Linked DNA regions of Coturnix japonica. Each later gene encodes a partner of the first gene's protein in a complex. Links are inferred from orthologs where the notes say so. Each region holds a gene or a part of one and is shown on either strand. Other genes may lie near its edges.

Region 1 (3,981 bases):
AAGGAGTATGGATCAGAGGAGGAGGTGTCACCCTAATGCCATGTTGCACTTGGGAGCAGCTTCTTGCTTTTCATGCATGATGTAACACACTTTAAAAGGAAAGGTTTTTTTCTTTAAAAAGCTACAAAATAACATGTGCTGGTTAACAATAAATGTGTGTCTTTAAATTTAGTGCTTCCAAGCTGTATAAAAAACAAGTAATCCTACTTGAGGACCAATTTTAAACTATTTTGTCACTTATTTTATATGGTTTGTTCAAAACCAGCCGTGAAACTTGCTTAAGGCGCTGCACATTGTTTAATATTTCCTGTAAGTACAGCTGTATATTCAGATTGCAGTTATAAAATGTAAATGGGGGGAGAAACGTGTAGAATCTTAGAGCTAGCACAGTTGTTGTTACTGAGGTTAGAACACAAAGCACTGATACTCCAGTGTTTCACTGTGTTGTGACTGAAACTGTGTACAGACTTTTGCAGTTATCTGTTCATTTTAACCTTGAATGTTGCTGGAGGCTTCTGGTTCTATGTGAGCATAACCTGCACATAAACATCAGTACTCACCATGCCTCTGTCTGCTTCTCGATGCTGTGCTGGGAATACCAATTGGTGGTTAACTGGAAACTCCTCTCTGACTTCATTTACCAGTGTCACCTCTGTCATAGACTCAAAGTGCAGGAACACCATAAACTCAGTATGTAATGGTTCTTACGGCTCTCGGGCAGCTGCCCTCTCAAACTTGGTTCTTTGCGGTTTGTTTAAAGCAAAACATAAAATAACAGATTTCATGTGGAAAAGAAGAGCTGTGGTGTGTGTGTAGGGATGGAGGGAGAGACGTGGGTTAACGTGGGTTCTCAGAGCTGGAGGGCAGCCAGATCTCAGTGCTTTACAAAAAGAGTCTGTATTGCAGAAATCACAACAGTGTACTCATCAATGATAATAAAAGGTCTGATTTTTCTAGATCCTGGCCGCTGCGTTTGTGTGCCTGAGCTCCTTATCAACTGCTTAACGTAGAAGCATCGCTGGTGCGGACTAGACTATTTGCACACAGCTACAGTGCTTAGATACGTATAATCCCGAGCCCACCATTCCAAAATGGCGGCAGCGCATCCCCTCAGTGCCCGCCCGCCCTCAGCCCCGCGCAGTCGCGCTGCGTCCCGCCCCTTCCGCCGCGCCGCTTCCGCCCATTGATCGCAGCCGGCGGCGGCCGCTCAATCTCTCGGGGCTCGGTGCGCTCGTTGGAGGCCGCGTTCCTGTCCGCCCGCGCTCGCGGCGCTTCCGCCGAGGCCTTTTCGTGCCCCCAGGGGCGGCCGCCGCTGCCCGCCGAAAGCCCCGCGGCCGCCGCGCCGTCCCGCCGGCGCAATGAAGCTCGTCAGGTGAGCGGATGGAGGCGGATCGCGGAGAGAGGCGGCGGGGAGCCCGCGCAGGCCGCCTCCCCCTCCCCACACACAGGCCGCCCGGCCTGTCGGGGCCTCGTTGCGGCCTGGGCTCTGCGGCGAGCGGCTGGGCCTGCGAGCGGGGCTGCCCGGGAAACCACCCCGGGGGGTTGGGGGCGGAGCCGGGTGGAAGCGCCTTCACGCGGTGCCGAGATCCAAAATGGCTGCTGCTTAGCTGGTGGTCAGAGAGCAGCCCGAGTTGGACGGGATGCACGAGGGATCCCGAACCCAACTCACGCAGGGCGCTCAAAACACAAACCCTGTGACTGGAAGCGTTGTCCCGACGCTGCTTGAGCCCGGTGCCACCGTTTCCAGCCCCTGGCAATTGGGCGCCGTTTGGGGCTTTGGCTTTGCCCCATGGAGCACCTTCAGTGCAGTTCATGGCAGCTGAGAACGTTTGCGTTAGGATGTACATCGATCGGTTCCCCGTATCAGCATGTGGTTGGACATAAGGCTTAGTGTGACAGCAAACACTCTGTGCTTAATTCCTAGGTTTCTGATGAAGCTGAGTCACGAGACTGTGACCATCGAGCTGAAGAACGGGACGCAGGTGCATGGCACCATCACAGGTACGGTGTGCCAGCAGCCTCCCAGGCTGATCTGAGCTGTGTGGGGTAAAGGAAACCGGTGCTGGCGTGGCTGGTGTAAGTGTGGTAATCTGAAATTACTGCAGCAGCATGCAGGCATTGTGAGACAGTGTCACTGCTGTATCAAAGGGCAGTGGTCATACAGCCTATCCACTTATGTTTCAGAACATTTTGGGGCTGGAACTTGAAGGTCCCTTCCAACTTAAACCGTTCTGTGATCTCATTGGTAAAGCTGCAGTACACTGTAGTTGCATCAAGAAGTCACCACTGAGTCACTGGCAGAGAGATATTTTTCTAACGGTAGCACAGATAAATGGTAAATGCTGAACATGGTTACAATCTACTGAGATGTAAGGGTTAAAAGCACGTTATTTTGCAGCCAGATCCGTCCATTTTGTTAGAAGCTGGCTGTGGTGGCAGCACTCTGTGCCTCCTACCCTTGTACTCTCACAGCCTTCGCTGTTGAGCAAAGTCTCTCTCATGCTGTGCTAAGAACCTGTAAAACCCTGCAGTGCCATCCATGGTTCTAAAATGACAGTCATCCCTGTACATGGGTGTACGAAGCCTGTTGCAGCCACGGTGCCACCTGCAGTTGGTGCTTCTGATGCTGATGTTAGATGTGTTTGATCAGAAGATCATGGTTGTACTTAGAAGGAAACGCAGTGTTATTTTTCTACTCAAAAGTTCGTTTTCTTTCTTTTGAAAGGAGTAAAAAAGACAAATATTATGCTTTTGTAGTAAGTGGCAGTTTATTTGTTGTCCGGAGGAATCATTTTAAGTGTTTAGTGTTGCTATGACTTAAGACCTAGGAACAGATCCCTACAGCTGGTGGTAAGTGGCTCTTCCTTTGGAAATATATCAGTGTTGAGGGCAGCAGCTGATAAATCAGCATAATTAATAGAGGAAAAAAAGATGTAGTTTCTTCTTCCACTTAAGAGGCTTAATTAACAAATGGCACAGATCCAGAAGCGTGTGTTAGCAAAGTCTTGAAGCACGTGCACAGTTAATAATAGCCAAAGAGGAGTCATCCTGTGTGTTCCCACCCCTGAAATCAGCCTTGTGTTATTTCAGGAGTGGATGTCAGTATGAATACTCATCTCAAGGCTGTGAAAATGACGCTGAAGAACAGGGAGCCTGTACAGCTGGAGACATTGAGCATTCGGGGGAATAACATCCGATACTTCATCCTACCAGACAGTTTGCCCCTGGACACCTTGCTAGTAGATGTTGAACCAAAAGTCAAGTCCAAGAAAAGAGAAGCAGGTGAGTGCATGATTTCCCAGTCTCTGCTTGTTTTACTTTGTGTTTTCGTGCTCTCGCTCTGAAGGCATGTGATTGGAAATCTTAATTTCTGTATTGCTTTCATCTCTGAGGGTTTGTACCGAACTCTGCCTTGTGTACCTTCATTGTGTCTGTAGTCTCCTTTCATGAGAAGTTATTTACACAGCTTCTCATGCATCTGTTTTAAAGTGTAAACGTCTTTAAGTGTGAGTAAATCTTAACCTATGGCATTCTCAGAGGCAGCACCAATGGGATGCACAGTTTCTCTTTTCAAAATGTCTGCTCTGTTTCCCTGGTTTCTGTGTGTAACTTTGTATTTAGCCTAATAAGAAAATATAGAGCAGCCTCAGGAGCGGTGCTGGACTGAAATCTCACTTGGCAGTGGATACAAACAATCTGCTGGAGAACCGAATTGAAGGGGCTTCAGAATGCAGAGGGAGCTGAGGCTGTGTTCCTGTGGATAAAGCCCTTAAAGCCTAACAGAATAGGGAATGCTTCTGGTTTTGTTCTGCGCCGTTAACAATTAATATCCAGTAAACTCCACAAAGTTTGTGTCTTCAGGCAGTAAAAGTTTTGCCCAGCAGTGTTAATCAGTGTGTCTTTCCAGAAATAAGTTAAAGGTAATCGTGCTCTAAAGCAACTGCTTGCCATTTCTCCTGTAATTTATGCTTAATTATTTGG
Region 2 (3,974 bases), on another chromosome or scaffold:
ATACTGAACTGCTGAAAACTGATACCAAGCTAATTAATATTGATTTTAACCTAGTGAAGCTTTTTAAGTTTAGACAATTGGATAGATTCCTAGATTGAAATCTGTAAATAAAAGTCAGTAGTGTTTGAAGTAATTTTGCAGCTTCTAGTAAATAGAAATCCATGTAGATGACCAGAGTTCCTAAACTACTGCACAGTGTTAATTTATATTCTTATGTGTACTGAAATACTTGTTCTTATTTCAAGAACCTGATGTTGTCAGTGGGCATACTTCTGGTATTAAAAAGGCTTTATGGAGCAGTGATGACAAACAGATTCTTTCAGCTGATGATAAAACTGTCCGGTAAGGAAAAAAAAACCAAACTTCTAGTAGTTTTCTCTGAAGCTCACTTTTACTTATTGTGTACAGTTTCTGTCAGAGGATTGTTATTTCCTTGGGAAATAGTAATAAAGGCTGTTTGATTCTAGATTAGAATATGCACATGTAATCCAGTTTTTCATGTTGTTGAAGATATAATTTTTCTGTTAATTCTGATTTGCACCATAAACGTGTCCTCCCTGATAGGAAGAGGTGGTCTCTGATAACCGAATAGTAGAATTAATTTGATTTTTCTAATCCTAGAGGAAATTAAATTCTAGGTGAGGTCTTGTGAAGACATGCTGAAGTGTCTCTGCCTTGTCTTCTGCAGTCAAGCCTTGAAACATGCATTGGGCGAGGGTTGGGATAAAAGGCAGGGAAGCCTCTCTGGAGACAGTGCCTTCTTAATAATCATAACTGTCTTTCTCTTCCATGTGGTAAGTTGAGAAAGCTTTTCTGGTTTTGTAAGATAGATCATCCCCTTAAATGTAGATGGGCTAAAGCCTAGACAGACTTGGCTGCTAGGGAGATGAAATGATAAAGATCCTTCCTCAATCTATGCTGGCCAAAAAAGAAGGAAGATGTGCCTTGCTGCTTCCACAACTTTCTGGTTGATGTGATCAGCATCATCTCATGTCTACTTGTCTCGTTATTCTTATATTTATGGCATAGAGTAATAGTGGCTTTCTGCTTTGTGGAAGGGCAGTAGATATAGAGTGAAATCACAGTTGCAGTCTCCTTGTTTCTGTTTTGGCTCCAATTCTTTTTCAGTTCCTTCATTCAAGATAGTCAAGAGACTGGTCTTTTATTTTTTCTCTGAATTTTAGAAATTGAAATAACAGCATTGAGTTATTTAATGAAATAAGAAACTCATAATTTATAGAATGGTTTGGGCTGGAGGGGACCGTTAAGAACATCTAGTTCCAACCCTCCTGCTATAGTCAGGGACACCTCCCTCTACACCAGGTTGCTCCCAGCCCCTTTCAGCCTGGCTTTGAATGCCTCCAGAGTGGAAGCATCCACAACCTCACTAGGCAACCAGTTCCAGTGTCTACCCTCAAACCAAAGAATTTCTTCCTAATGTTTAGTCTAAATCTACTCTCTTCCAGTTTAAAACCATTTACACTTGCCATGTTCCTATGTGCCCTTCTAAAATGTCCCCCTCCAGCTTTCCTGTTGGCCCTTTCAGGTACTGGAATGTTGCTGTAAAGTTCCTGTAGAGCATTCTATTCTCCAGGCTGAATAGCCCCAGCTCTCTCAGCATGTTCCCGTAGGGGAAGTGCTCTAGCCCTCTCATCATCTTGGTGGCCTTCCTCTGGTCCCACTCCAACAGCTTGATATTCTTATGCTGGGTGTCTCAAAACTGGCCACAGTACCTCCAGGTGAGGTCTCATGCAGGTAGTTTAGAGGGGCAGGATCACCTCCCTCGACCTGCTGGTCACACTTCTCTTGTGTTGAGTTTCATCAAATTACACTCCCAAATCCATCTCCTCAGGTCTGTTCTCAGGCTAAAATCTGCTCAACCTGTGTCTGTGCTTAAGATTGCTTCAACCCCAGTGCAGGACTTTGCACTTGTCCTTTTTGAACTTTGTGAGGTTAGTGTGAGCTCACCTCTCAAGCCTGTCTGGCTTGAGATGCATCCCTTCTCTCTAGTGTGTCAGCTGTACCTCAGCTTGGTGTCATCTGCACATTTGCTGCACTCAATCCTACTGTCCATATAATCTATAAAGATATTAAATAGTACCAGTCCCTGAGGAATGCTACTCGTCACTGGTTGGATGCTGAGCTGTTAACTGCAACTCTTGAGTGCAACTGTCCAGCCAATTCCTAATCCACTGAGTGGTCTATCCCTCAAATCCATTTTCTCCATTATGGTGACCAGGATGTTGCGTGGGACAGTTTGTTATAATTTAATTTGATTTTAGCTTAGATATTCCTTGCCTGCCTAGGCAAAATGCTAAATTATATTAAACGAGTCTATTAGTTTCTTAAATTAGTATTATATATATATGTTTTGTGTTAAAAAGGCAGAATGCAATCTTAAGCTTTGCTTCTAGAAAGCTGTAATGCTCAGGAGACATGTAATAAAGCTTTTTGTCTTTTAAGAGAATCCTTGAGTAGTTAAGCAGTATGTGTACTGTTTAATGTAGTTGATACGTTTTAAAAGTAGCAGTATTTTAATGCAAACTTGTCTTAATTCTCATGTAAGTAAAGCTAAGCAAAGCAAAGAATGCTGCTGAAAATCTAAAGTGTCTGTAGAATATTCTTTATTGGGGGTTTTTTGCAACCACAGCATGCCATGGGTGGAGGTGGAAACTGGTGTGTTGAATTGATCTGAGAATCTTTCTTCTTTCTGATTTTTCTTAAGCCTCTGGGACAGGAGTACCATGACCGAAGTGAAGGCGCTAAATGTTGCAATGTCTGTGAGCAGCATGGAGTATGTTCCAGAAGGGCAAATACTTGTGATAACCTATGGGAAAACTATTGCTTTTCATAGTGCAGAAACGTGAGTCTAAAACACAGAATCTTTTTGAGTTACGGGTTTGATTGTGAGTAAAACTGACAATACAAGGCCACGATCATGAAGCTGTTAGAACCCATGTCAGTAGATATCTTTGCCTACCATGTTGTCAGAGACAAGGTCTGAAACAACTATCCTTTTCTAACCTAGTGGTCCCCGATTGTCTGCAAGATGGTAGATTGTAATGGATCAGTACCATTTTCATGGTTCAAAGCTAACTGGAGTTGTCATTAAATAAGATTCTCATCCAGAGTTCAATTTAGTGCTTTAAGAGAACTAATTCATACAGTTTCTATGATGTTTTAAAGCAAGTTGCAGTCATAAATATGTGCCAGAAAGTAGTATGAAATATGTGAACTTATCTGTGTGCTTTGCTTGTTCTGAACTTGTTGTTTCAAAACTTTATGAGCTTGACTTGCCAGTGTTAAAAATTTGTTTCAGAAACTGCATGTGGGTGTCTTCTGTCTTTCTTAAAAGCAACTATGAATTGTAGAATCACAGTTCCTTTGCTTTCAGGACCTGCTTTAAAATACCTGTTCTTTCTCCTCCCTCAGTCTAGAGCAGATTAAATCATTTGAAGCACCTGCTACAATCAATTCTGCATCCCTTCACCCAGAGAAAGAATGTTTGGTTGCAGGTGGTGAAGATTTTAAACTCTATAAATATGACTATAACACAGGAGAAGAATTAGGTATGTTTGACTTCAATAATAAAAAACAAGTTTTGACAAGTATTAGATAGATGATGTAGCAGCTAATGAATTAAACTTGTAGAGCATGCTGTGCTGCGAACTTATTTGAGTACAAGATAATGGAAAGGTATGTAGTCAGTTAAGAGGATTTGTCCTTTGATAGTATACCTGATGTTACTCTTGAAGATCTAATTAAAACCTCCACTAAACAGCTCTGCAGCTACTGGGGGGGGGGAGGGAAAATGTTGAGTCATCCCATGCTGCTGCAATAGCAAACTATATGTTAACTTAAATGTCGTACTGTGGCATTCATTAATTATGTCTAATGAGTCACAGTTACTGGATTGTATTTTAATGCTAGCCATGTAAAATTTATTTTAAAGTGTGTTTTAATCTGTTGCTCCT
Region 3 (4,077 bases), on another chromosome or scaffold:
GAGCCTTCTGCTCCAAACTAAGGCTCATGAATAACTTCCCAATGTATGCACAGACATGGGAACCCACTGCATTGGCAGAGTTCTTGTTTTTGTTGCTTTTGTTTCTTCCCCAGTGATAAACGGCTCCGTCTCTTTGTCAGGTCTTCATGAAGTCTGTGAAGTTGGAATGGGTGCTGGGAAACATTGCTGCGGCACAGGAGCTTTGTGAGGAAGCCCTGAAACACTATGAGGACTTTCCCAAACTGTGGATGATGAAAGGACAAATCGAGGAACAAAAGGAGCTGGTAGAGAAAGCAAGGGAGGCTTACAATCAAGGGGTAAGATGCATGTTATTGTAAGCTTGCTTTGTGCTTGTGATATGGACAGATGTCTGTCTTCAAATCAGGATGGAGAGGGCTCTGTCCCATATTAACAGTGGAGGTGATTTCTCTCCCTGTCATTGGTTAAAACAGTAAGAGAAAATTATTAGGGTGTTGAAATAAGCAGTGAGAATTTATCTCTTAGCTGGTGTGTGTGTGCAGAATTCGCTTTCTTGCTTGAGAGAGTTTGCTGTATGCTTGACTACTCACTAGCAGGAATGAAGTCATTACACAATAATTCTCTAAGACCTGCAACGACTAAACAGCAGAACTTCTTAACAGAAGACCCTGCTAATAAGGTTAGGTAAACACTGTAAAAGGAGATTGTCTGCTGAGTACTCATGTGTCTTCTAAATGGTAATTGGCGTCCTGTAGGAATGCTCCTGAAACTCATCTGCCCTGCAAGTAATAGGGAAGCAGGTTTCTGCCGGTGTCTGTATCCTAATGACTTTGTGAGCTTCAAGGGCAATGCGTTTCCTGCGTACTCTGCAGGTGTGATTTTGTTATTTATTAGAGCTCTCCATCTCTAGATGGAGCACAGGTCATAGATGTACTGTTAAGGGAGGTGTATTCTTTCTTTTTGCTTGGCATTGAGGAAGTTTAGTCATAGTGGTGTTCTTGGTGTTTTGGTTATAGGAGAAACTAGATTTCTACTGTTTTAGTGCTATATGATTAACTAGGAGAAATCTGAGAGATGTGGTCACTTATCTCACTTCTGAACTCCTCAGAAAGATTCAAGGAAGGGATTCCTTTTCTATGGGGGTTATAATGTTTTCAGATCTGCATAGTAACCGTACCTTTTGTTATCATATTAAACAGCTGAAAAAGTGTCCCCATTCCATCCCTCTGTGGCTTTTGCTGTCCAGACTGGAAGAGAAGGTGGGACAGTTGACCAGAGCAAGGGCTATCTTGGAAAAGTCTCGCCTAAAGAATCCAAAGAATGCGGATCTCTGGTGAGTTGTGTAGACGTGAACTTAGTTTGAGCTGCAAGATCGATGCATGCATGAGGTATCTCACACCTCAGTTATTTGATCACAGAACTTATGAGCACACCTATCCTAGCACTTCTTCTGAAGAAGGGCTCTGGAGATTCTGGCTGCTGTGTGGCTACTCTGAGGAGCTGGGGACCTGTTGTTTCTTTACAGATAGTTGCAGTGTAGAGAACATGAAAATCAAGGGGTCTTTTGTTTCTATCATAGGTTAAAAATGATATGAGAAATGGACTAGGCCATTGCAAAATGTGTTTTTTAATGGGGAGGAATGGGAAGAAGTCAGTAAGGTGCATGTGTTCATATGGGCATGTTTGTAATTTCCAGTGACTTTCATGTGACTCAGAGTTGATTTGTGTTACAGAGTGAATGTGTTACAATAAATATCATCACTGGGTTTCTTTATTACCAGGTTAGAGTCTGTGCGACTGGAGTACAGAGCTGGGCTGAAGAACATTGCAAATACTCTGATGGCCAAGGCCTTGCAAGAATGCCCTAATTCAGGTGAGCTGGGTGTCATTTTGATCTTAAACCTGGTTATGTGTTTGCTCAGTTAGTAAAGGATTATCTTTATCCAAGATGGCCTTTCTGGCCATGTCTCAGAATAATGCATTTTAGAGAAGTGACAGCCATTCTCCTGCAAAGGGAGGGTTGGGGGGGGCTTTGTGAATGATCCTGGTTACTTTGTAGTGCTTCACACTGAAGGGAACATGGGTTGGTGTTGGCATCATCGATTTTGTGGTCCACAGTTTGTCAAGAGGTTTCATGCAAAATAATCATGGACATGGGTGGCTTTTCTCTGAGGCTGGTAGAAGTCTGTGCCAAGGTTTAAAACTGAAGAAAGACTCTCAAGCTTTTGTAATTAGGGAGTTTGGTGGAAAAAGGATGTTTTTTCCCCTGTCTCATTGGGGTATAATTGACCATAGGAGACTTCCTGTTGTTGGTTTGCCCACACTGATTGCACTACTAATGGGTTTTGATTATTTTAGCTCATCATATAAGCTCTATTTGCCTTTCCTTAACGAAGTTGGTTGGTTCTAACCAGCAGTGGAAACATTTGCCTCTTGGGATGGGAGGAGAAAATGGAAGTTTCCTTTCTTTTTTTTCCTTTTTGACAGAATTGTGGGAAGGCTTTAATTCTTTGAACGTGTTGACATCTTTGGAGAGATGTCACTTCAGTAGAAAGTGTGGTAACCTACCACAGGGCAAGTCTTTTTAGTTTGCCTTCAGGCTGGTTTTGAAAGGTATTTAGTTGATGACTGCTTAAGTCACCCCAGTGAAGTAATGGGAGTTAAGTGACTTTTATGGCTTGATCAACTCACTGCAAGCTGCTTGCTTTGTGAGTGGGCCAACAAAGTAATACCAGCTTTATTTTATGAAGGACCTAACACTTGTTGTGTTTGCCACCTCAGGCTCTTCTGCAGATTCTGCCTGTTGCTATAGAAATAGGCAGTAAGATCTCAGATTCTGTTTAAATAAAATAACTCCCAACTCTTAAAAGTTTACAAACCAGGAAGAAAAACCTGCAGGATTGAGTTTGTTAGACACCTACAATTGTGTAAACCTGACCCGCGTCCATCAGTTGCTGATCTGATTACCATTGCTTGTGGCTGACATAGATGGCACAAAGGATAAAATCATGAACTGAAATACATCAGTGTTTGTGTCCTCAGCAGGACTGAAAATAGAGGTCTGTGAGAATGGTTTGACTCTATGTAAAGAGCAAATCTAGAGTTCTGCTGCAGTCTGTCACTGCTGTCATCTGAGTGTGTTAATTCCCATGTGCAGTTTATGGGAAGTGAGAGTGCTTTGATAGAGTCCTGGCAGACCCAAGCTTTCAGGCTTTGCCTTGAAGTGATCAACAGGTATGGTTGACTGGCGTTAGAAACTGAAGATTTCATGCTCCTCTGAGCATGTTTCCTTTCTTGCTTTTGGCAGTGAAAGGAACTAGGGATTAAACCCAGCTTTCCTGGCCCTACCGTGTCCTTCGTCATATGTGTGGAGAGCCAGCATCAATAATACTGTGGTGTTCTTTGGCACCTTTGAAACTGCTCCCAAGTGGTGTACTTTACACCTTGTGGGACTTCACCTGCCACTGTAGCTTTCCATTCAGACCAGCTTGTTGCTGCTTCTGAGTTCCCCTCTGCTGTGTGCGGTGTCTAATTGGAAAGGCTTAAGCTCTGTGCTCGTGCACACTGCTGTTGTGGTACAGAAACATTCAGAACTGAGGGTCCTTTGCTAAATTTCAGAGTATTGAATGAAGCATCCATGATGAAAGAGCGATTTGAGACAAGGTGGAGGTGCAGGGATAACTTCTGGGGTGGGCACAGTAGTGCTGCTCACTTCATAGAGCGCTGGCCTGATGATGGGGAGGATTAATCTCTGATTCACACTAAATCTTTCTACTTCACTTGATTAAGGAATCCTGTGGTCAGAGGCAATTTTCCTTGAAGCGCGACCACAACGGAAGACCAAGAGTGTGGATGCCCTGAAGAAGTGTGAGCACGACCCACACGTTCTGTTGGCTGTGGCCAAGTAAGTTCCCGTCCTGATGTAGTAAAGACACTCATTTTGGTGTGTGTAGCTGCATCCCTGATGAGACATTGCACTTGAGCACGACCACGTGATGCTGGCTGCAGCAGCTCTAATGAGCCTCAGAGCAAGTAGCAGCTCTCAAGCTGTCTCCTAGTAACTGCAAATCTGCTGCTCTACCTTGATTCAGAACAAGG
Region 4 (4,077 bases), on another chromosome or scaffold:
ACTTCGAGCTGAGATACAAGGAAGTGGATAGGGCACGTACCATTTATGAAAGATATATCCTTTTTAGTGCATTGTGTCTCCTATCCAAATTTAGGCACGAACTCTTTTGTCTCTATTCTACACCGCCTCCTTTTTACTGTGATGTGCTGGGAGTAAGCCACCATACTGAGAGCCAGTGGTGGGTCTTAAACACACGTTTAATAAGATGTCTCCAAATTTAGTTGAATGTACAAATCCTGCTCCAACAGGGAACATTTAACAGCACCCATGCCTCTAAATTATTTTGTAGGCATGATTTGTTCCAGTTTTCTCCTTTCTAGCCTTCTCCCTGCCTCTTGCCTGACTTTTATTCCCTTTATTAAAATTCAGATTTACAGTACTCAGCATGATACCTTTGCGTGGTCAGAGCTGCTTAATGTCTTCTTCCCAGTTGTGTTACTTGCATATGTCATTCTTAGGAGTTGTTTCACCTGTGCTCACTGGGAAGGATGCCATTTGAGAGATTCAATTCAACTGCTACTGTTTCTTTAACGTAGCTCTCTACTCGTTATTGTCCATCCTGATGTGAAAAACTGGATCAAGTATGCCCGCTTTGAAGAGAAGCACTGTTATTTTGCTCACGCAAGGAAAGTATATGAAAGGGCAGTGGAGTTCTTTGGAGAAGAGCATATGGATGAGCACTTGTATGTGGCTTTTGCGAAGTTTGAAGAGAACCAGAAAGAAGTAAGGCTGTCTTACATCAGACTGATGCTAACCACAAGATTTCTTTCTGAGTATCAGACTCAAGGTCCCTTAACATTCACTTCAGTGCTTGTGTTTTCCAGCAGCTTTGTGGTCTTACGTAGTCTGAGTTAAGGAATCAATCTTTTTCTTAGCTTATATTTGGCTTTTGGTGACTTTGAGAAAATATTTTCTAAGCAAAATAAGTGCCAAATATTCCCAGCCTCAGAATAATCCCATTCGATCTCATATGTGTCCTCTAGTATGAGACTGTAGATCAACTGTGTGCATAATGCAAAATAAAAGCTCTATTATCCATGATTTTGCAAGTAAGCAATTCAAAACATTCTGTGAACCCCAAACTGCAGACTCTTAAAAATACTTTAATTATTCCAAACCTATAAATGAGTAAGTGATAGTAGGTTTTGGTACTAACAGATCTTTCTTCTTTTCACTGTTACCCTCCAGGGAGATCTGTGTTAGTCCTGTCCTAAAAAGATAATATACACTAAATGTTGTTAAAGGATCATTTGAGATACTAAAATGTACATTATGGGGTAAGAGAGTAGTTGAATTCCAAATATAATTCAAATGATATTTAATGTTTTCAGTTTGAAAGAGTAAGGGTGATCTACAAGTATGCCTTGGATAGAATTCCAAAACAGGACGCCCAGAATCTCTTCAAAAATTATACCATCTTTGAGAAGAAGTTTGGAGATAGACGAGGTATTGAAGACATCATTGTCAGCAAGAGAAGATTCCAGTATGAAGAAGAAGTGAAGGTATGTATTATAAATATTCACTGGGCTCATCGTGGAGATAAAAACACTTTAACCCACCTCCCTTTCAAAGCTCTAGCTTAGTCATACTTGAGACAGTTTTTGCTGGTGTTTCAATGACTTGTTTTAAAGGGGAGATTCGGAATAAGAACTAAGTAATGGAAAAAGTTTTGTTATTTGCAGTTAATTAAATTTCTTTCCCATTTCTCTGCTCCTAACTTTCTGGAAGGCAAATCCACATAATTATGATGCATGGTTTGACTACTTGAGGTTAGTTGAAAGCGATGCTGATGCGGAGACTGTCCGAGAAGTATATGAAAGAGCCATTGCTAACGTTCCCCCAATTCAAGAGAAGAGATACTGGAAGAGATACATCTATCTTTGGATTAACTATGCGTTATATGAAGAGCTGGAGGCAAAGGCAAGTAGTAAGAACTCAGTTTTTTTTCTTTTTCTTTCTGAAGTACTTTTCTTACACAAAGTAGCTACAGGTACCTGCAGAGAACTGAGAGCAACAACAGTCTGGTTTGTTTTGTCATTAGCTTCAGGGTTTGCTGTTTAAGCATTTGCCCCCCTATACATACACCTTTATTTGTGTGAAATAGCACTTCCCTTGTATGAAGAGAAAAGCATTCGTTTTGCCCCAATTCATGTAGAAACTGACTGATAAAAGCAAAAACAGCTCTTTCTAGCCCTATCTGAATTTCCTTTTTCAGACTGTTGCCTGAACTTGTGCCAATACTGGTACAAATGGTATATAAATAGTATTAATAGGTATTATTTGCCTAATATAATAGGTATTTCTTCTGTTTTTTTTATCAGTTAGGTAGCAAGGTATTACAAATACAGCAGTATTACAAACAGCAGAACAAAACTATTAGTAAAGTTGTTCTGTGAAGCAGTCGAGTTCTTGGTACAGTTCCCTTTTGAGGCTTTGTCTAGTGTGTTACCAGTCATGTCACATAGCTACATTTGATTTCATAAAGTCATAGTTCAGTATAGCTGTTCAGTGTCCCATAGAAGGAAAAATATCTATATTTTTCCCCTAACTGATAACACTGATGGCTTTATAGGCTCATTCCTAATGAGACTTTTCTTTTAAAGAGAAGGCCCTTAATGACACTCAGAATTTACCATCTTTGAATTGTGCATACACATGTGTAGATAAATACCTAGGTTTTTTTAAGTATACATTATTCTAAATTCCTGTACTTAAAAAAATACAGTTCTACAGTTTGACAATCATTGTGTGATTCAAAATGGTGTAATTACCATAATGTGATCTGAACAGTGAATGAAGAATTGAAATTTTTGTTTAATTTTGTTTGTTCTTTCAGGATCCAGAGCGAACCAGACAAGTTTATCAGGCGTGTATTGAGCTCCTTCCACACAAGAAGGTACGGCTCCTCCAACAGTTCATATAAACTCTTACGTTGTAAACTGTAAGATATACAGTATTGGTAGTGTGAGTCCGTATGAAGATAGTGATGTCTTGTGAAGAACACATGCAGAATTATTTACTGAGCTCCCAACCCATGCATCACATTGTTCTTTTTCTTTCAGTTTACATTTGCCAAAATATGGCTGCTGTACGCACAGTTTGAAATAAGACAGAAAAATCTTCCACTTGCTAGAAGAGCTTTGGTAAGCTTTGGTTAATTCTCTAATTGATTTCCTTAACTAATAGTAACTAGGGAATGGCATGAGAAGATCTTAAAAATTGTCCTTTGTCAATTGCTGGTTTTAATCCACTTAAATAAAGCTTCCTAGAGATCTGCAGGGACCAGAATTTACTGTCATGTATGATTAAAGTAGTATAGCTTGATATGATGAGTTAGCCGCAGTCTGAGATGGATGCAGCTTTCCTGTTTCTGCTGGCAAAAGATGTATCTGAATACAGGAGTACAAATCAGCTTACTACTCTTAGAGAGCTTTAACTGCTGCTACTTTGTTTAAACAATACCTGTATTAGCAGTTGCTTTAAAAAAAAAAATCTAAATAAACAGGCATTTTTGATTCTCAGACATTCAGACTTTCATGATAACATTTGAATACCAGCTACTTGGTTGTAGATAGAAGCAATCATGGGGGCTTTGTGCAGGTGCAAGAGCTTCTGTGCAAATTTCCCTACCATGTCAGTGAATGATGGGATATGTTTTGGCAGCAAAAAAATATGAAATGGAAAAGACTGTTTTCCCTTCAGTTCAGTTACTCTGAGTAAGTTGAATGACAACAGTGGACTTTGGTTATCCTCCAGCATGCTAGTAAAGCTATATTTGTTGGGCTGGACTCCTGTCCTTGCCCAGGAAAAAAGTAAAGCAGAGGGATTAAATGAGACTTAAAATCTCGCTGTAGGAGAAGGCAACCATCTGTCATGAAACATGCTGTAGTTCTAGCTTGATTTGAAATACCCTCCTTCCATTCTAGAAAGGCTACTTTGGTCTCTGTTATAATAGTTCCTACAGTTTATTTTAGACTTCTCTTTTGCTGGTCTTTTCTCTATTGTTGTTTAATTTGGTAGATGTTTGTAGTGCGCTCATTATTTTTTAGAGTGGATTTTGTAGATGTGGCCATAGTC
Region 5 (4,697 bases), on another chromosome or scaffold:
ATGAAGAGTCCAAGGGTGATCAAAATATCCCTTTGAGGATAAGAGATCAGGAGCACAGGTTGTCTTCTTTAACAGAAAGGCTTTTCCAAGCATGTTAGCGGCAAAAGAAGGACTAAAGAAAACATTGGTCTGATGTTCAGTGAGATTGGTCATCTCACAAATGGAGATGAAATGAAGCAGAGACATTTAATGCCTTCTTCACCTCTTTATTTAACACCATTGATGGGCCCTGGGATCTCCAGAGCTGAAGCACTGCAAGCAGAGGGAGTGAATGATAAACCCCAAGTTGACTTTGAACTTGTATGGAATTTGGTGCTAGAACTGAACCCAGTTTGGAAACAAGTGGTTGCAAATGCAAGAGTACTTTCAGGACCTGTTTGTGCAGTCTGTTCTGTTTTCTTTCTTTCTGGTTGCTTGACCTGAGCTCTGGGGTTGGTTTCTTTGTTGTTAAGGTTCAGATTCAAAGGATAGATTTATGTTTAGTAGTACTGTAGAGCTGAGGAGCCTGTAGTGGAACGGGGGACGCCTTCAGGTCCAAGGCTGTATGTTGAAATTGAGGGTCTGACATGCACATCCCCCTTTGAAAGTCTCTGTTGTTCCAGGACTTGAAGAATGCCAACTTCTCTGAACGGCAGCTCCAGAGTAAGGTGTCAGCACCACCTCCCCGTGCCAGGTATTGTGGGTTAAAACAAAAAGGAAGGGGGTGGGTTACTCCTTGCCTGTGGGAAGGCAGGAATTGGGCTCAGCCATGGCCCTGTGCTGCCTCGCAGAGGCGCACCGCGGCTGTGCAGGCGGCAAGGAAACAGATAATGCTTAAAGTGACTGAAGAGCTGAATGTGTTTTTAGTTTCCTACCACGGGAACCACCAGACTCCCTCAGCAGCCTGAAGCCTGTGCTCGATTCCAAGCCTGAAGGAGGAGCTGAGAGCCAGGACTCGTCCTTCTGCTTCTCCCCCTCTCAGCCTTCAGAGATCGGGTACCTGAACGTCGCCTCACCTGGAGACACTGCAACCTCCCAGCTGCAGGAGGAGAGTCAGAGCATCAGCTCCGAGAACATGTAACCTGGGGACGATGTAAAGTGCAGGCTGCCAGGATTCAGGCTCCTGTTGTCATACAAGATTGAAAGAGGGAGTGTTGGCAGATGATAATTGGTGATTTCTGTGGTATCTCAATTATTCAACAGCTGCTTTCTTTAATAATTAACATGGCCAACCTTAAAGGTGTGTGTGTATCTCAGCCCAGAGCTGCAATCTGCAGACAGACAAAGAACGGGGGTGGGATGAGATTTATTTCCCTTCATCTGCACTCCCTGCTTTCCAAGCTTCCTCAATAAAACATGGACCGGTTTCCCTGTGCTGGGCCGTACCGCCGGGTTCCTCCCTTCCCCTCTGCTCTGTGCTGAGACGGGAGCGGCTGCCCCCGTGTGGCTGAAGGAGAGACAGGCAGGAAGCAGTAACGGGATCCGCGGGGCTCCATTCACTCTATGGGGCTCCATTCACTCTATGGGGCTCCATTCACTCTATGGGGCTCCATAGAGCGCTGTGAGCTGCCCGACCCGCTCCCTCCGCTCTACACGCCGTGGCTGCAGGCGGTTCCACAGCCGCCATGTTGTCCCGGCCTCCCCACCCACGTAGATGACGGGATGACGTCACACGCACAATTTCCGCTCGTCAGAGCGTGCGTAGCCCCGCCTCTTTTGCCCCACTTCCGCTTCCGGTTGAGGCCACCATCATGGCGGTGCTGGCGGCCAACCCCAACAACCCGGTGGTGTTCTTCGACGTCACCATCGGCGGGCAGGTGAGCGGCACGACGGATCCGCTTCTCCGGGCCCATCCCCGCCTCATCGGCTTCTACAGGCCGCAGCCGCTCCCCTTCGGGCGGGTTTAGGATCCCCGGCGGTTACGGGAGGAGGAGCGGGGGGAAGAGGCCTGGCTGGGGGGCGGGGGGGTGTGTGGGAGCGGGGTGAGCCGGCCGTGTCTGTGTCTGTATCTGTATCTGTGTGTGTCTATGTCTGTGTCTGTATCTGTGTCTATGTCTGTATCTATATCCATGTGTGTCAATATGTGTGTCTATATCTGTGTTTGTGTCTATGTAGGAGGTTGGCCGCATGAAGATCGAGCTGTTCGCTGACGTGGTGCCCAAAACCGCAGAGAACTTCAGGTGAGGAGCAGCCTCTGTGAGCACGGTACCGTTATATCGTGATATAAACCTCCTGAGCTCGTTACATATCGCAGCTTTCTCAGTATCTCCTCAAAGCTCTGTTGTGAAATGGAAGCGTTGAGTGGTTCCCATTGATTCCTGTTTCATCCCCATTGCAATAACCCAAGTCCTGCACAGCATTCATTGTTGAATGCCGCCTTTGTGCTCTCAAAGTTCAGAAGTGGTTCATACTCGGCTTTTCTCTGCTGTTTCTTTTCCAGGCAGTTTTGTACCGGTGAATTCAGGTATGTGGTTTATCTTCTCCTTTTATCTACCATCCTCAGACAATACTGGGCTGGGAAAGGGCTCACTTGGAAGGTTTCCTTACCTGTGTGAAAAGGGGGGATGCAGATGTCTGTGCTGCAAATTGCAGTGGGATCCTTTTGAGCTGATGAAATGGATGCTGCAAACAGCTGTGGCCATTCAGGGTTTCCCTTGGCCTCTGGTAGTGTGAAATTAAGCTCCAGGATGGGCTGAAGGAGGTGGGTTGGTTTGGTAGGTGATGTATTAGGCCTAATGTACAGGGCGTCCCTTTGGGGGTGTGAGCTCCTGGGAGGGTTTTGTGTTGGGACTTACTGTGAGTTGTAATGATTTTCCTTTTTATTTCCTTGTAGGAAAGATGGCGTCCCCATAGGTTATAAAGGAAGCACATTCCACAGGTGGTACTTCTGCTTTTGTTGAGAGACTCAGTAGCAGTAGGTGGCTTTGGGACCTGCCTCAAGGGCTTCTGCTGTCTGCCCTTTGGGTGCTGTCAGATACTGTTAATGCTCACAGATTGTATATACTGCTCACTGGTCGTATATACTGCTCGCTGGTCGTAGGCTGTAGTGTTTGCAGACATTCACAAGACATTTTTCTCCTGGGAACTAAGTATCATTTTCCTCTTTTAGGGTAATAAAGGATTTCATGATCCAAGGAGGTGACTTTGTAAACGTATGTACTACCACGTTGCTTTTGTCTTTGTCCTGTGCTGTACAGCACACAGCTCATCCTTCCCATGTTTTCTCTCTCTTAGCAGTACGATGGTATAACTGGGGGCTTTTCAAACTTGCAGAGGTTTTCTTTTCACCCTGTTGTCCTTCCTGTTTCTCCCATCCCCCCAGTAAGAGGCAGAGAATCTCCACTGTATGTGTGAGAAGAGATGCTTAAGTACACAAACCAAGCAGCTATTCCAAGGGATAGTACAAATCAAGTCAGGCTTAGTTATTTCAAGTTCACGATGCAAAAGTAAACGCTGTGGCAGACTAATTGCCTCTCTTGTGCAGGGAGATGGCACTGGAGTAGCCAGTATATACAGGGGTCCTTTTGCAGATGAAAACTTCAAGCTGAAGCACTCTGCTCCTGGCCTGCTTTCTATGGTGAGTATAAAATGAAGGCTGATAGCTTTTGGTGTTTCCTCTCTGCACTTTTCCTAACTTTATACATTGTATTTGGCAAACAGTAGGAATCTGCAGTTGGCTGGGGGGTCTGAAAGGCCTGTGTTTTAAGTAGCAGTCAGAAGGTTGCTCGTGAAGTGAGTCCTGATCCTCCAGAATCCTTTCTTCTTACCTGTCAGAGTTCAGGAACACGTTTTATTTGCTCAGCTTCCATAAAGGCTTGAGGATTGCAGATCTGGTACAGTGATGAGTGATGGGTCTTTTTCTTTCCTTATGCCTCTGTTGAACACTGACCTTAGCAAGGAGGAAACAAAGACTGCGGAGTTTCAGAGCCACAGCAGTGTTAGTGTGAAATCTTTTATAACGTTATTTCCCCAGTGTGATGTTGTAGCCAGTAAAGATTTTGTGTACTTGCACACGGTAGCAGGGCCTGACTTGATAATGCACCGTGACCAAGCACAGGTGCTGTCCTGCAAATGTCTGTCTTGTTTCCTTTGGTTTGTAAAGCAGTGAGCTCAATAAAATGTATCCAGGTTAGAGCTAAAGCAGCAGCTCTTTCTGCTGTGAGATGTCTCTGCCTTCAGCTTTGGGAAGTCCTAATTTGTATGCTTTGCATTTTGACAAATTCAACCTGCAGGCAAACAGTGGTCCAAGTACTAATGGGTGTCAGTTCTTCATTACGTGCTCCAAGTGTGACTGGTTGGATGGAAAACATGTTGTGTTCGGTGAGTACCTGCCGTGCAGGCCTGGCATACAGACTCTTACACAGTTTCTGTGGCACAGGGTCAAAAATAAGCAGCTGTGGATTTGCTTGTTCCTTCCCCATCCATTGTGCCAGCAGAGCTATTTGTGCAGCCAGGTATTGAGATGCGTCATTAGGAACATTTTTTTCTCAGCTTAACTTTAATCCAGATCAGATCCTGGATGGTTGTATCATTGTTAGTATATAAATCCTCATGCCAGTGCAGGTGGGACAAGGGATGAAGGATGAAGGGATACCTTCATGAAGGGGCTGGCATCCAAATGGAGCTTTCAGCTGGGTTTGTAGGTATGAGATGTGCTTTCAGAGGATGACTGACTACTTGTACTGCCTCTAGAGCTGTAAGATTTCAAGGCCAGACCT
Region 6 (4,563 bases), on another chromosome or scaffold:
CTGTGGATGCAATGGGGGGCTCTATAGGGCCCTGGGGATGCAATGGGGATCAGTGGGGGACACTATAGGGGCTCTGGGGATGCAATGGGGATCAGTGGGGGGCACTGGGGATGCAATGGGGGGCTCTATAGGGGCTCTGAGAATTCAATAGGGATCCATGGGGGACTCTATAGGGCTCTGTGGATGCAATGGGGATGCAATGGGGATCAGTGGGGGACTCTATAGGGGCTCTGGGGATGCAATTGGGGGCTCCATAGGGCTCTGGGGATGCAATGGGGATCAGTGGGGGGCCCTGGGGATGCAATGGGGGGCTCTATGGGGGCTCTGGGGATAGAAAGAGGATCAGTGGGGGACTCTATAGGGACTCTGGGTATACAATGGGGATCAATGGGGGACTCCATAGGGCACTGTGGATGCAATGGGGGGCTCTATAGGGCCCTGGGGATGCAATGGGGGACTCTATAGGGGCTCTGGGGATGCAATGGGGACCAGTGGGGGGCACTGGGGATGCAATGGGGGACTCTATAGGGGCTCTGAGGATTCAATAGGGATCAGTGGGGGACTCTATAGGGGCAGTGGGGATCAATAGGGATCAATGGGATCAATAGGGATCAATAGGGATCAATAGGGATCAATGGGGAGCAATAGGGATCAATGGGGGACTCTATAGGGGCTCTGAGGATTCAATAGGGATCAGTGGGGGCTCTATAGGACCCTGGCTATACAAGGGGATCATTGTGTTGCTCTATGTGGGGCCAAACATGGTCCCCCCCCCGTCCTCTCTCACCTGTCCGTGCTCCGCCCTGAGGCCTCATTGGGGGCGGTGAGGCCGGAGGCCGCGGATCCACTGGGCCGAGCGGCGGCGGGAGGAAGGGGCGGCCTACCCGGAGGTGTTTACTGACACGGAGCTGCTGGTAGGAACACAGGCTGTACTGGAAGGACGAGCTGAAGAGCCCCGAGCGGGGCACACGGGCCGAGGACAGCGGGATTTGGTACCAGCGGAGCAGCCCCGCCCGCTGACCTCGTCGCGCCGACGTCCCGCGCAACATGGCGGCCATGGGCGGGCGGGGTGAGAGAAAAGGGCGGGCTCTCCTCAGAAAGGCGGCGCTACCAAGTGCGGCTACTAACGGCGGGATTGGCCGTTTAACTGCCGACAGGAGCCCGGCAGCCAATCGCGGCTCGAGGGTTCGACCAATCAGCGCGCGCGCTGAACGGGATTGGTTAAAGAAGAGAAGTGTCCCGCCCACCTGTGCTCTCAGCCAATCAGAAGGGGTGGAGAGTGTCCCCGCCCCCCACCTCCCGCGGTGCATGCTGGGAGCTGCAGTCAACGGGCCTCTGCCGCGGTGCATGCTGGGAGCTGCAGTCAACGGGCCCCTGCCGTGGTGCATGCTGGGAGGCCTTGTGCGGAACCTCTTCCGGGATCGGGCTGTTTCCGCTTCCGTTGTTTCCGCTTCCGCCGGAAGTTCAGCTCCAGGGCCTGTTCCCGTGCACGGCGGTGGCGGGGCGGCAACATGGCGGACGTGACCGCTCGCAGCCTGCAGTACGAGTACAAGGCGGTGAGTGCCGGCTCGGGGCCTGTGCGCGGTGGGGATGCCGGCCTCATTCCTCCGGGCCTTCCCCGTCTAACGGGGGCCAATATGGCGGATCTCGTATAGTGAGGCCTTGTCGGGCCTTGTGTGGCCTGTGGTGATTTAAACCGGGCCTGTTTGAAGCCGGGGGCTTTAAGAGATGGTTGGAGGTGCGGCCTGCGTCCCTTATGGGCGGTGGGGGCTGCTGGATATAGGGCTGTGGGGAGGATAATAGGGGCTATGGGAGGATATAGGGCTGTGGGGTGGGGGTAATAGGGGCTGTAAGAAGGATATAGGGCTGTGGGGAGGATATAGGGGCTGTAGGATGCTTATAGGGCTGTAGGATGCTTATAGGGCTGTAGGATGCTTATAGGGCTGTGGAGGGATATAGGGCTGTGGGGAGAATACTGGGGTATGGGAAGGGTAATAAGGGCTGTGGGGAGGGTATTGGGCTGTAGGAAGAAAAATAAGGACTGTGGGAGGATATAGGGCTGTAGGAAGGATATTGGGGTATAGGAAGGGTAATAAGGGTTATGGGAGGAATGTAGGGCTGTGAGAAGGATGTTGGGCTGTGGGGAGGGATATAGGGCTGTGGGGTGGATATTGGGGTATGGGAAGGGTAATAGGGGCTGTGGGGAGGATATAGGGGCTGTAGGATGGCTATAGGGCTGTGGGGGGGTAATAAGGGCCGTGGGGAGGATATAGGGCTGTGGAAGGATATAGGGCTGTGGGGGGGAAAATAAGGGTTGTAGGATGGATATAGGGCTGTGGGGGGGTGATAAAGGCTGTGGGGAGGGTATTGGGGTATGGGAAGGATAATAAGGGCTGTGGGGATGATATAGGACTGTAGGAAGGATATAGGGCTGTGGGGAGGATAATAAGGGCTGTGGGAGGATATAGGGCTGTGGGAGGGATATTGGGCTGTGGGGAAGGTAATAAGGGTTCTAGGAAAGATATAGGGCTGTGGGGAGGATAATAGGGGCTGTGGGAGGGATATAGGGCTGTGTAATAAGGCTGTAGGAACATAAAGGCTCCACCTGATGCATTGTGACCCCCATCCCCCCCCCAGAACTCCAACCTCGTGCTCCAAGCTGACCGTTCTCTCATTGACCGGACGCGACGCGATGAACCCACGGGTGAAGTGTTGTCCCTGGTGGGTAAATTGGAAGGGACGCGGATGGGAGACAAGGCGCAGCGCACCAAGCCACAGATGCAGGAGGAGCGACGGGCCAAGTGAGAGCTGAGCGGGGCCTGGGGGTGGGAGGGGGCTCTGAGGGGGCTGTGGGGCTTCAGTGGTTATAAGCAATGTGGAATCACACAGTGATGGAGGTTGGGAAAGAGCTGTGAGGTGATGGATCCCAATTGGTGCATACACCACTGAGTGGTGGCATTGAGTGGTGGTATCGTGTTGGTGTATGGTCAGATACCAACATATATGGTTGTTATATGTGGTTGAGTTGTGGGTCCTCAGAGCCCCCCCAGGTTCATCTCCTGCCCTGGTGCCCCCCTCCAGCTTATACCCAACACAACTTCAGTCGCCTTTGGCACCTCCAGGGTTGGGGCACCCACAGCTCCTCTGTTCCACCACCCTCATAGTGAAGAAGGTGACCCTAAATCTCCCCTCTTTTACCCCAAAGCCGTTCCCATATCCATCAGCCCATCCCCAAGCACCACATACACACACCTTTTGATCCTTCAGCATCCTTCACAGCTTTCCCAATGTAGAAATACTTCCCCTCGACCAAAACTTCCCCAATTCAACCCAGGGCTGGGGTCTCTTGTGATGCTGTGGGATAAAAGATCAACCCCCCCTCACTGCTGTGTCCTCCTTTGAGGCAGATATGGAGTTTCTCCTTTTCTCTCCAGGCTAAATAACCCCATTCCCTAAGCTGCTCATTGTAAACTGGCTCCAGACCCTTTGCAGCTTCATTCTCTCTCCTTGTCGGGAAGCGAAAAGTGAAAGGAAAAGGGCTAAAAAGGAGGAAAAACGGGGCAGAGTTTACCTTTATTTTTAACAAAGGGAAGGCCCACGCTTTGCTGTCCAGCATTACTGGGATTCCCTGCTTTGAGCTGCTATGGGTGCTCTCTGTTTGCAGGAGGAGGAAGCGCGATGAGGACAGACACGACATCAACAAGATGAAGGGTTACACTCTGCTGTCCGAGGGCATCGACGAGATGGTGGGGATCATCTACAAGCCTAAAACCAAAGAGACACGGGAGACCTACGAGGTGTTGCTGAGCTTCATCCAGGCTGCCCTCGGGGACCAGGTGAGGAGCTGGATGTGTGTGATGGGGGCACATCCATATCACAAGGGGGATAATATCTGTGCCATAATATCTGCCCCTATGGTGATCTCCTGCTTATGTGGCTGCTGGTTGTTCCCCAGCCACGAGACATTCTGTGTGGAGCTGCTGATGAAGTGCTGGCAGTGCTGAAGAACGAGAAGCTGCGTGATAAGGAGAGACGTAAAGAGATCGATCTGCTGCTGGGCCAGACTGACGACACCCGTTATCACGTGCTGGTGAACCTGGGCAAGAAGATCACGGATTATGGTGGTGACAAGGAGATCCAGAACATGGGTATGGACAGATTATGGTGACAAGAAGATTTAGAACATGGGTATGGGCACAGATTGTGATAGTGACAATGAGATTCAGATCATGGGTATGGGCACAGATTGTGGTGGTGATAAGGAGCTTTAGAACACAGGTATGGGCACAGGTTGCAATGATGATAAGGAGATTCAGAACATGGGTATGGGCACAGATCATGATAATGACAATGAGATTCAGAACATGGGTATGGGCACAGATTGTGGTGGTGACAAGGACATTCATAGCATGAGTATGGGCACAGACTATGGTAGTAACAAGGAGATTCAGAGCATGGCTGTGGGCAGACTATGCTGGTGACAAGGAGACTCAGAACATGGGTATGGGCACAGATTGTGATAGTGACAATGAGATTTAGAACATGGGAATGGGCACAGATTGC
Region 7 (4,077 bases), on another chromosome or scaffold:
TCGAGACGATCCCTTTCTTTTCCAAAGGTGTAATGACTCTGAAGTTGCCACCCACAAAGAGAAGAGGTGGAGCTGTTGATCCTGCTGTTAAAGAGCGCATTTGGCTCACTGTCCACTGGCCTTGTGGTCGTCCTACAGAAATTGTATCCAGCTCTTTTGGGTAAGTAGGAGACAAAGCAAGTAAAATTAATTGTACATTAATTCATTGATATTTAAAGAACAACTGGCAGGAAACACTGACACCCCCATCTTCCTCCCTTCCTAGTATAGCAAGATAGAGGACAGGCTAAGAGTGTAGGGGAAGTTCAGTCTTCTAGAAGGCTGTTATTTGCCCCACAATTCATTTAATAATCTAACTGAATACTGACTGCTAATGGTACTATTTGTGGTTTTTGCCCATTTAATGGAAGCAGTTGACATTTCCACTTCCAATGTGATTAGGAATGGATATCTGTAGGGTAGTTTTATCTCTGTAGAGGGACGTGTAGTGCATGTGTGTCTATCTGTATTACTCTCACACTTGCAGTATGTGCGTGAGCGCTGATATGATTTTTTTGAAGTGAAGAATGAAATATACACACTTTACGTTTCACAGAGGAGAACTGCTACACTGGGATTTAACTCAACCTGGAAAACGCAAGTGGACACTAATGGGATCTTCAGAAGGGCAAAATCACTCCCGTATTGTGTTCAATTTGTGTTCCCTGAAGCATCAAGACAAAGAGCTGCTTCTTTCCATTTCAATGGACAGAGATGTAAGAACCCATTTTAAAATTAACATCAAAATAGCAGCGGCAGTTCAGTTTGACTGAGTGAAACTAGCACTTTGATGACCACACATTTTCTCCTAAAGCAGGCTTATCCCTGCCCTTTATAACATCATGGCTCAACATTTCTTCTGAGCACAAGTTGTGCATTTCTTTGTTAGCATGTAAGCTCAAGCTTTTACCTTGGAGGACAGAATGGTTATGCCCTCTGGACTTGAAAAATCAAACGTTTAATAGCTGCCTTTTTTGTGGGGGGAGGAAGGGTTGTTATGGTTTGGTTTTGATTTTTACAGGCAGCACAGTGCCTCCTATTTTGAATTTAGAAGAGGACCATATAATTAAACCATAGCCCTGTTCCATCGCAGTCTTGCAGTTAATACAGCTCTGTCTTTGACTCATACTGACACGTGCATACTCTGAGTCTTCCTCTCACTTGTGCTTTGTTTTTCCCCCCCCATCATACCAGTCACTTTATCATTCGTTGTTCCTTAAATATTCTTTAGATAAAGTGCTGGGACCTATCAACTCTAGATTGTAGCTGGACAATGCCTTCACTTGGGGGATTTGTCTACAGTCTCGCCTTCTCCCCTGTGGACCCAGGCTGTCTTGCCATTGGTGTTGGAGACAGCATGATCCGCGTTTGGAATACTTTGTCTATGAGCAACATCTATGATGTGAAAACCTACTGGCAAAGCATAAAATCCAAGGTTACAGCAGTAAGTGTGCTTTACATTCCCCTTTTTTCTTGTCTCTTTTCTCACTCCATTTTTCTCTTTGAGGAATGTTTTTCTCTCACACTGAAGAAGGTTTTTTCCTAACTAAATCCTATAATGCCGAGTTGTTACTTCTGCTCTCAATTTGCATGATATAAATTTTAGAATTGATCAGCATTTTAGACATTTTTAGAACAGTAGGTATTTACAGTACACATACTGAAAATCAGCTGAAGTTTAGGTGGTTATTGCCTCACTTTCTTGGTTTTGTAAACAACTGTGATCATTCCTTGTGTCATCCACAGTTTCCTTTTGTTTGCTAGGAAGTTTAACATGTAGAAAAACTGGCACTGATGCCTTCAGTTTGAATTTGAACAGCAATTGGCTAAATACTAACATCTAGTAAACGATGGCAGCATTACAACATGTTAGTTGATCACACCAAAAGTATGACTCTATGTTGTAATGTAGCAGTCAGGTAGCATTTCAATGATTTCAGTTCCTTTCCTCTTGTCCCAGTAACTGTTAAGGGAAGAGTCCTTGATTCACATCACAATGTGGTTAAATTGAGTTGCTGTAGTTAGCATGGTGAATATAAGGGACAGTGCTTTTGATTTCAGTGCTTAACCTGTTGTTTATTATTTAAAAATAAATTGTCAATTCCTTTTGTCATTATGGGGCTCTTTGTACTTTTCTTGCAGTTAGCATGGCATCCAACTAAAGAAGGTTGTTTGGCTTTTGGAACAGAGGATGGAAAGGTTGGCATATTTGATGCCTTATCCAGCAGGTAAGAAAGTAGTTTTCAGATTCATTAGTATTCGATCTTGCTGGTATGGCAGCACACATAGATGACGTGGTCTTTCCTGAGGTTTACATTTGATATTTGTTAAAAGTTAAATTTAAAGTAGTCAGATGTATTTTAAGTGTATCTTTTCATCTGTTCCTTGTGACTGGCAGCTCTTAAAGAAACCTTACTCAAATTGTGTAACAGTCACCTGTTGGAAGTCATCAGTCAAGGATGAGTTAAGCCAGAAAAAGTTCCATAAAATGAGCAACATGCAGATGCAATTCATTAGGACAGTTTTGTTCTGATTTTAGTAGTGTTCTACAGGAAGCATCAAAGGCTTGGCTGAGCCATTGCTTTAGTATTTTGAAGCACCTGTCGTCTGTTTTCACTACTGGAAATACATTAGTTTGAATTTTGGGTTTTTTTTTTTTTTTGCTTGTTTTGGATTTGGTTTAGTTTCAGTTTGGTTTTGTTAGGGGTTTTATTCTGTATTTCCCCTTGCTGCAATCAGACTACTCCTGTTTCCTTACCTTCCTGCACAGTGCTAAGAATAAGCCCCCACAGATCTCCAGTACTTACCACAAGAAGACTGTATACACATTAGCCTGGGGACCTCCAACTCCTCCACTATCTTCTGGTGAGTGTTATAATGTCTTGTTACAAAGTAGAAATCCATACAGAGCACACAGATGCCACAAAGTTGGTGTGCTTCCCTTCCTTATGGATGTGAGCTCCATCTGCTTGGTAGCAGTCCTTTCTATCCACTAAGGATGCGTTCTGCCTGAGAAACTGGTAACAGTTTTGCCAAGGGAGCAAAATAATCTGTTCTGTATTTTGAAAGGTTCGGGAAGTGGATGGGAGTAGAGCACAACACCACATAGTTACATGTTTGTAATGCGCTGAAATAGCTATGTAGGCTCTCCACAATAATTGGTTAGGATCAAGTACAGATTATTTAGCTCTAACTGTTTTTCTGTCATTAAAACTAAACAGAACAGCTCCATTTGTCTTTTATGCAACCTGGGGGGGTTTATTGGCCAGGATTTAAAGGGAGTTTTAATGTGTGCAGCAATTGTGCTATGGAGAATGAATGAGGGGTCCTTTTAGGGAATTGTATTTTGAGAATTTCTTGCTGCCAGATCTCAGAGAATCAAAGCATACATACAGCATTTTAAAATACTGTTTTGATTTATAGTAAGAATAATTGCTTTTCCTAAGACTGACGAAGAGCATAGTATACTTAGATTTTTTTTTCCTCTGTTGAGTAGGAGAAGAAGGTGAACATCCCTCTGTAACTTTATATAGTTGTGCTGGAGAAGGTATTGTTTTTCAACACAACCCTTGGAAACTTAGTGGAGAGGCAAATGACATCAACAAAACCATCAGAGACACTAATTCAATTAAAGTGAGTATGATTCTTGCCTTTTTCTATGGATTTGTGGTTATAGTTCTGTAGCCCATAGTTGTAGGCTTTTGAAGTTTCTTGGAACATGCAGAACTTACTAAGGAGCATAAGGAGGTGGAACAACAAGGTCCTTTTGGAATCAAGACATTTCATTTGACACGTTCCACTGCGCTGGATGTAGCCAGTGATTCTTCCATCATCTTGCAGTTCATTCAGTCCTCAATTGCCCAAACTTATGTCACTACTACAAAATGCAGCAGACACTTGGGTGGCTTTTGTTTTGCAGACTAATTGTAATTCCTAGTTGCCAGTTGTGTTCTGTTGATGTATTCAAGAGAGACCTAAGAGTTTGTGTGATGGCTGGTAATAGCTGCATCTTCTCTCCACAGCACAAACTACCTGCAC

Evidence for each region.
Region 2: SNRPD1 (region 1) and STRAP share a complex: the UniProt entries of both Homo sapiens proteins name them as parts of the SMN-Sm complex. The link is inferred for Coturnix japonica from reciprocal best matches to the Homo sapiens genes SNRPD1 and STRAP.
Region 3: SNRPD1 (region 1) and PRPF6 share a complex: the UniProt entries of both Homo sapiens proteins name them as parts of the U4/U6-U5 tri-snRNP complex. The link is inferred for Coturnix japonica from reciprocal best matches to the Homo sapiens genes SNRPD1 and PRPF6.
Region 4: SNRPD1 (region 1) and CRNKL1 share a complex: the UniProt entries of both Homo sapiens proteins name them as parts of the minor spliceosome. The link is inferred for Coturnix japonica from reciprocal best matches to the Homo sapiens genes SNRPD1 and CRNKL1.
Region 5: SNRPD1 (region 1) and PPIH share a complex: the UniProt entries of both Homo sapiens proteins name them as parts of the U4/U6-U5 tri-snRNP complex. The link is inferred for Coturnix japonica from reciprocal best matches to the Homo sapiens genes SNRPD1 and PPIH.
Region 6: SNRPD1 (region 1) and SNRNP200 share a complex: the UniProt entries of both Homo sapiens proteins name them as parts of the U4/U6-U5 tri-snRNP complex. The link is inferred for Coturnix japonica from reciprocal best matches to the Homo sapiens genes SNRPD1 and SNRNP200.
Region 7: SNRPD1 (region 1) and GEMIN5 share a complex: the UniProt entries of both Homo sapiens proteins name them as parts of the SMN-Sm complex. The link is inferred for Coturnix japonica from reciprocal best matches to the Homo sapiens genes SNRPD1 and GEMIN5.

The regions. Positions count from the first base shown.
Region 1 is NC_029517.1:39,382,146-39,386,126, reverse strand, and holds the start of SNRPD1 (small nuclear ribonucleoprotein Sm D1), read left to right. Parts: upstream 1-1,181; 5' UTR 1,182-1,358; coding exon 1,359-1,372; intron 1,373-1,924; coding exon 1,925-2,001; intron 2,002-3,090; coding exon 3,091-3,282; intron 3,283-3,981. UniProt on the Homo sapiens protein: Plays a role in pre-mRNA splicing as a core component of the spliceosomal U1, U2, U4 and U5 small nuclear ribonucleoproteins (snRNPs), the building blocks of the spliceosome.
Region 2 is NC_029516.1:57,769,999-57,773,972, forward strand, and holds part of STRAP (serine-threonine kinase receptor-associated protein), read left to right. Parts: intron 1-245; coding exon 246-342; intron 343-2,725; coding exon 2,726-2,863; intron 2,864-3,432; coding exon 3,433-3,569; intron 3,570-3,974. UniProt on the Homo sapiens protein: The SMN complex catalyzes the assembly of small nuclear ribonucleoproteins (snRNPs), the building blocks of the spliceosome, and thereby plays an important role in the splicing of cellular pre-mRNAs.
Region 3 is NC_029535.1:8,471,077-8,475,153, reverse strand, and holds part of PRPF6 (pre-mRNA-processing factor 6), read left to right. Parts: intron 1-140; coding exon 141-317; intron 318-1,178; coding exon 1,179-1,312; intron 1,313-1,760; coding exon 1,761-1,852; intron 1,853-3,768; coding exon 3,769-3,883; intron 3,884-4,077. UniProt on the Homo sapiens protein: Involved in pre-mRNA splicing as component of the U4/U6-U5 tri-snRNP complex, one of the building blocks of the spliceosome.
Region 4 is NC_029518.1:3,884,609-3,888,685, reverse strand, and holds part of CRNKL1 (crooked neck-like protein 1), read left to right. Parts: coding exon 1-54; intron 55-544; coding exon 545-723; intron 724-1,331; coding exon 1,332-1,502; intron 1,503-1,728; coding exon 1,729-1,920; intron 1,921-2,836; coding exon 2,837-2,896; intron 2,897-3,062; coding exon 3,063-3,143; intron 3,144-4,077. UniProt on the Homo sapiens protein: Involved in pre-mRNA splicing process. As a component of the minor spliceosome, involved in the splicing of U12-type introns in pre-mRNAs.
Region 5 is NC_029536.1:5,567,066-5,571,762, reverse strand, and holds the start of PPIH (peptidyl-prolyl cis-trans isomerase H), read left to right. Parts: upstream 1-1,661; 5' UTR 1,662-1,730; coding exon 1,731-1,796; intron 1,797-2,094; coding exon 2,095-2,159; intron 2,160-2,419; coding exon 2,420-2,443; intron 2,444-2,812; coding exon 2,813-2,857; intron 2,858-3,088; coding exon 3,089-3,131; intron 3,132-3,463; coding exon 3,464-3,556; intron 3,557-4,211; coding exon 4,212-4,299; intron 4,300-4,697. Other genes in the region: CCDC30 (coiled-coil domain-containing protein 30), read left to right, coding at 603-673, 847-1,060. UniProt on the Homo sapiens protein: PPIase that catalyzes the cis-trans isomerization of proline imidic peptide bonds in oligopeptides and may therefore assist protein folding. Participates in pre-mRNA splicing.
Region 6 is NC_029537.1:1,057,770-1,062,332, reverse strand, and holds the start of SNRNP200 (U5 small nuclear ribonucleoprotein 200 kDa helicase), read left to right. Parts: upstream 1-1,422; 5' UTR 1,423-1,511; coding exon 1,512-1,556; intron 1,557-2,637; coding exon 2,638-2,801; intron 2,802-3,664; coding exon 3,665-3,836; intron 3,837-3,955; coding exon 3,956-4,148; intron 4,149-4,563. Other genes in the region: protein FAM178B, read right to left, coding at 788-1,058. UniProt on the Homo sapiens protein: Catalyzes the ATP-dependent unwinding of U4/U6 RNA duplices, an essential step in the assembly of a catalytically active spliceosome. Plays a role in pre-mRNA splicing as a core component of precatalytic, catalytic and postcatalytic spliceosomal complexes.
Region 7 is NC_029528.1:6,015,578-6,019,654, reverse strand, and holds part of GEMIN5 (gem-associated protein 5), read left to right. Parts: intron 1-27; coding exon 28-160; intron 161-595; coding exon 596-755; intron 756-1,270; coding exon 1,271-1,483; intron 1,484-2,181; coding exon 2,182-2,267; intron 2,268-2,679; exon of another isoform or gene 2,680-2,809; coding exon 2,810-2,904; exon of another isoform or gene 2,905-3,535; coding exon 3,536-3,672; exon of another isoform or gene 3,673-4,061; coding exon 4,062-4,077. UniProt on the Homo sapiens protein: The SMN complex catalyzes the assembly of small nuclear ribonucleoproteins (snRNPs), the building blocks of the spliceosome, and thereby plays an important role in the splicing of cellular pre-mRNAs.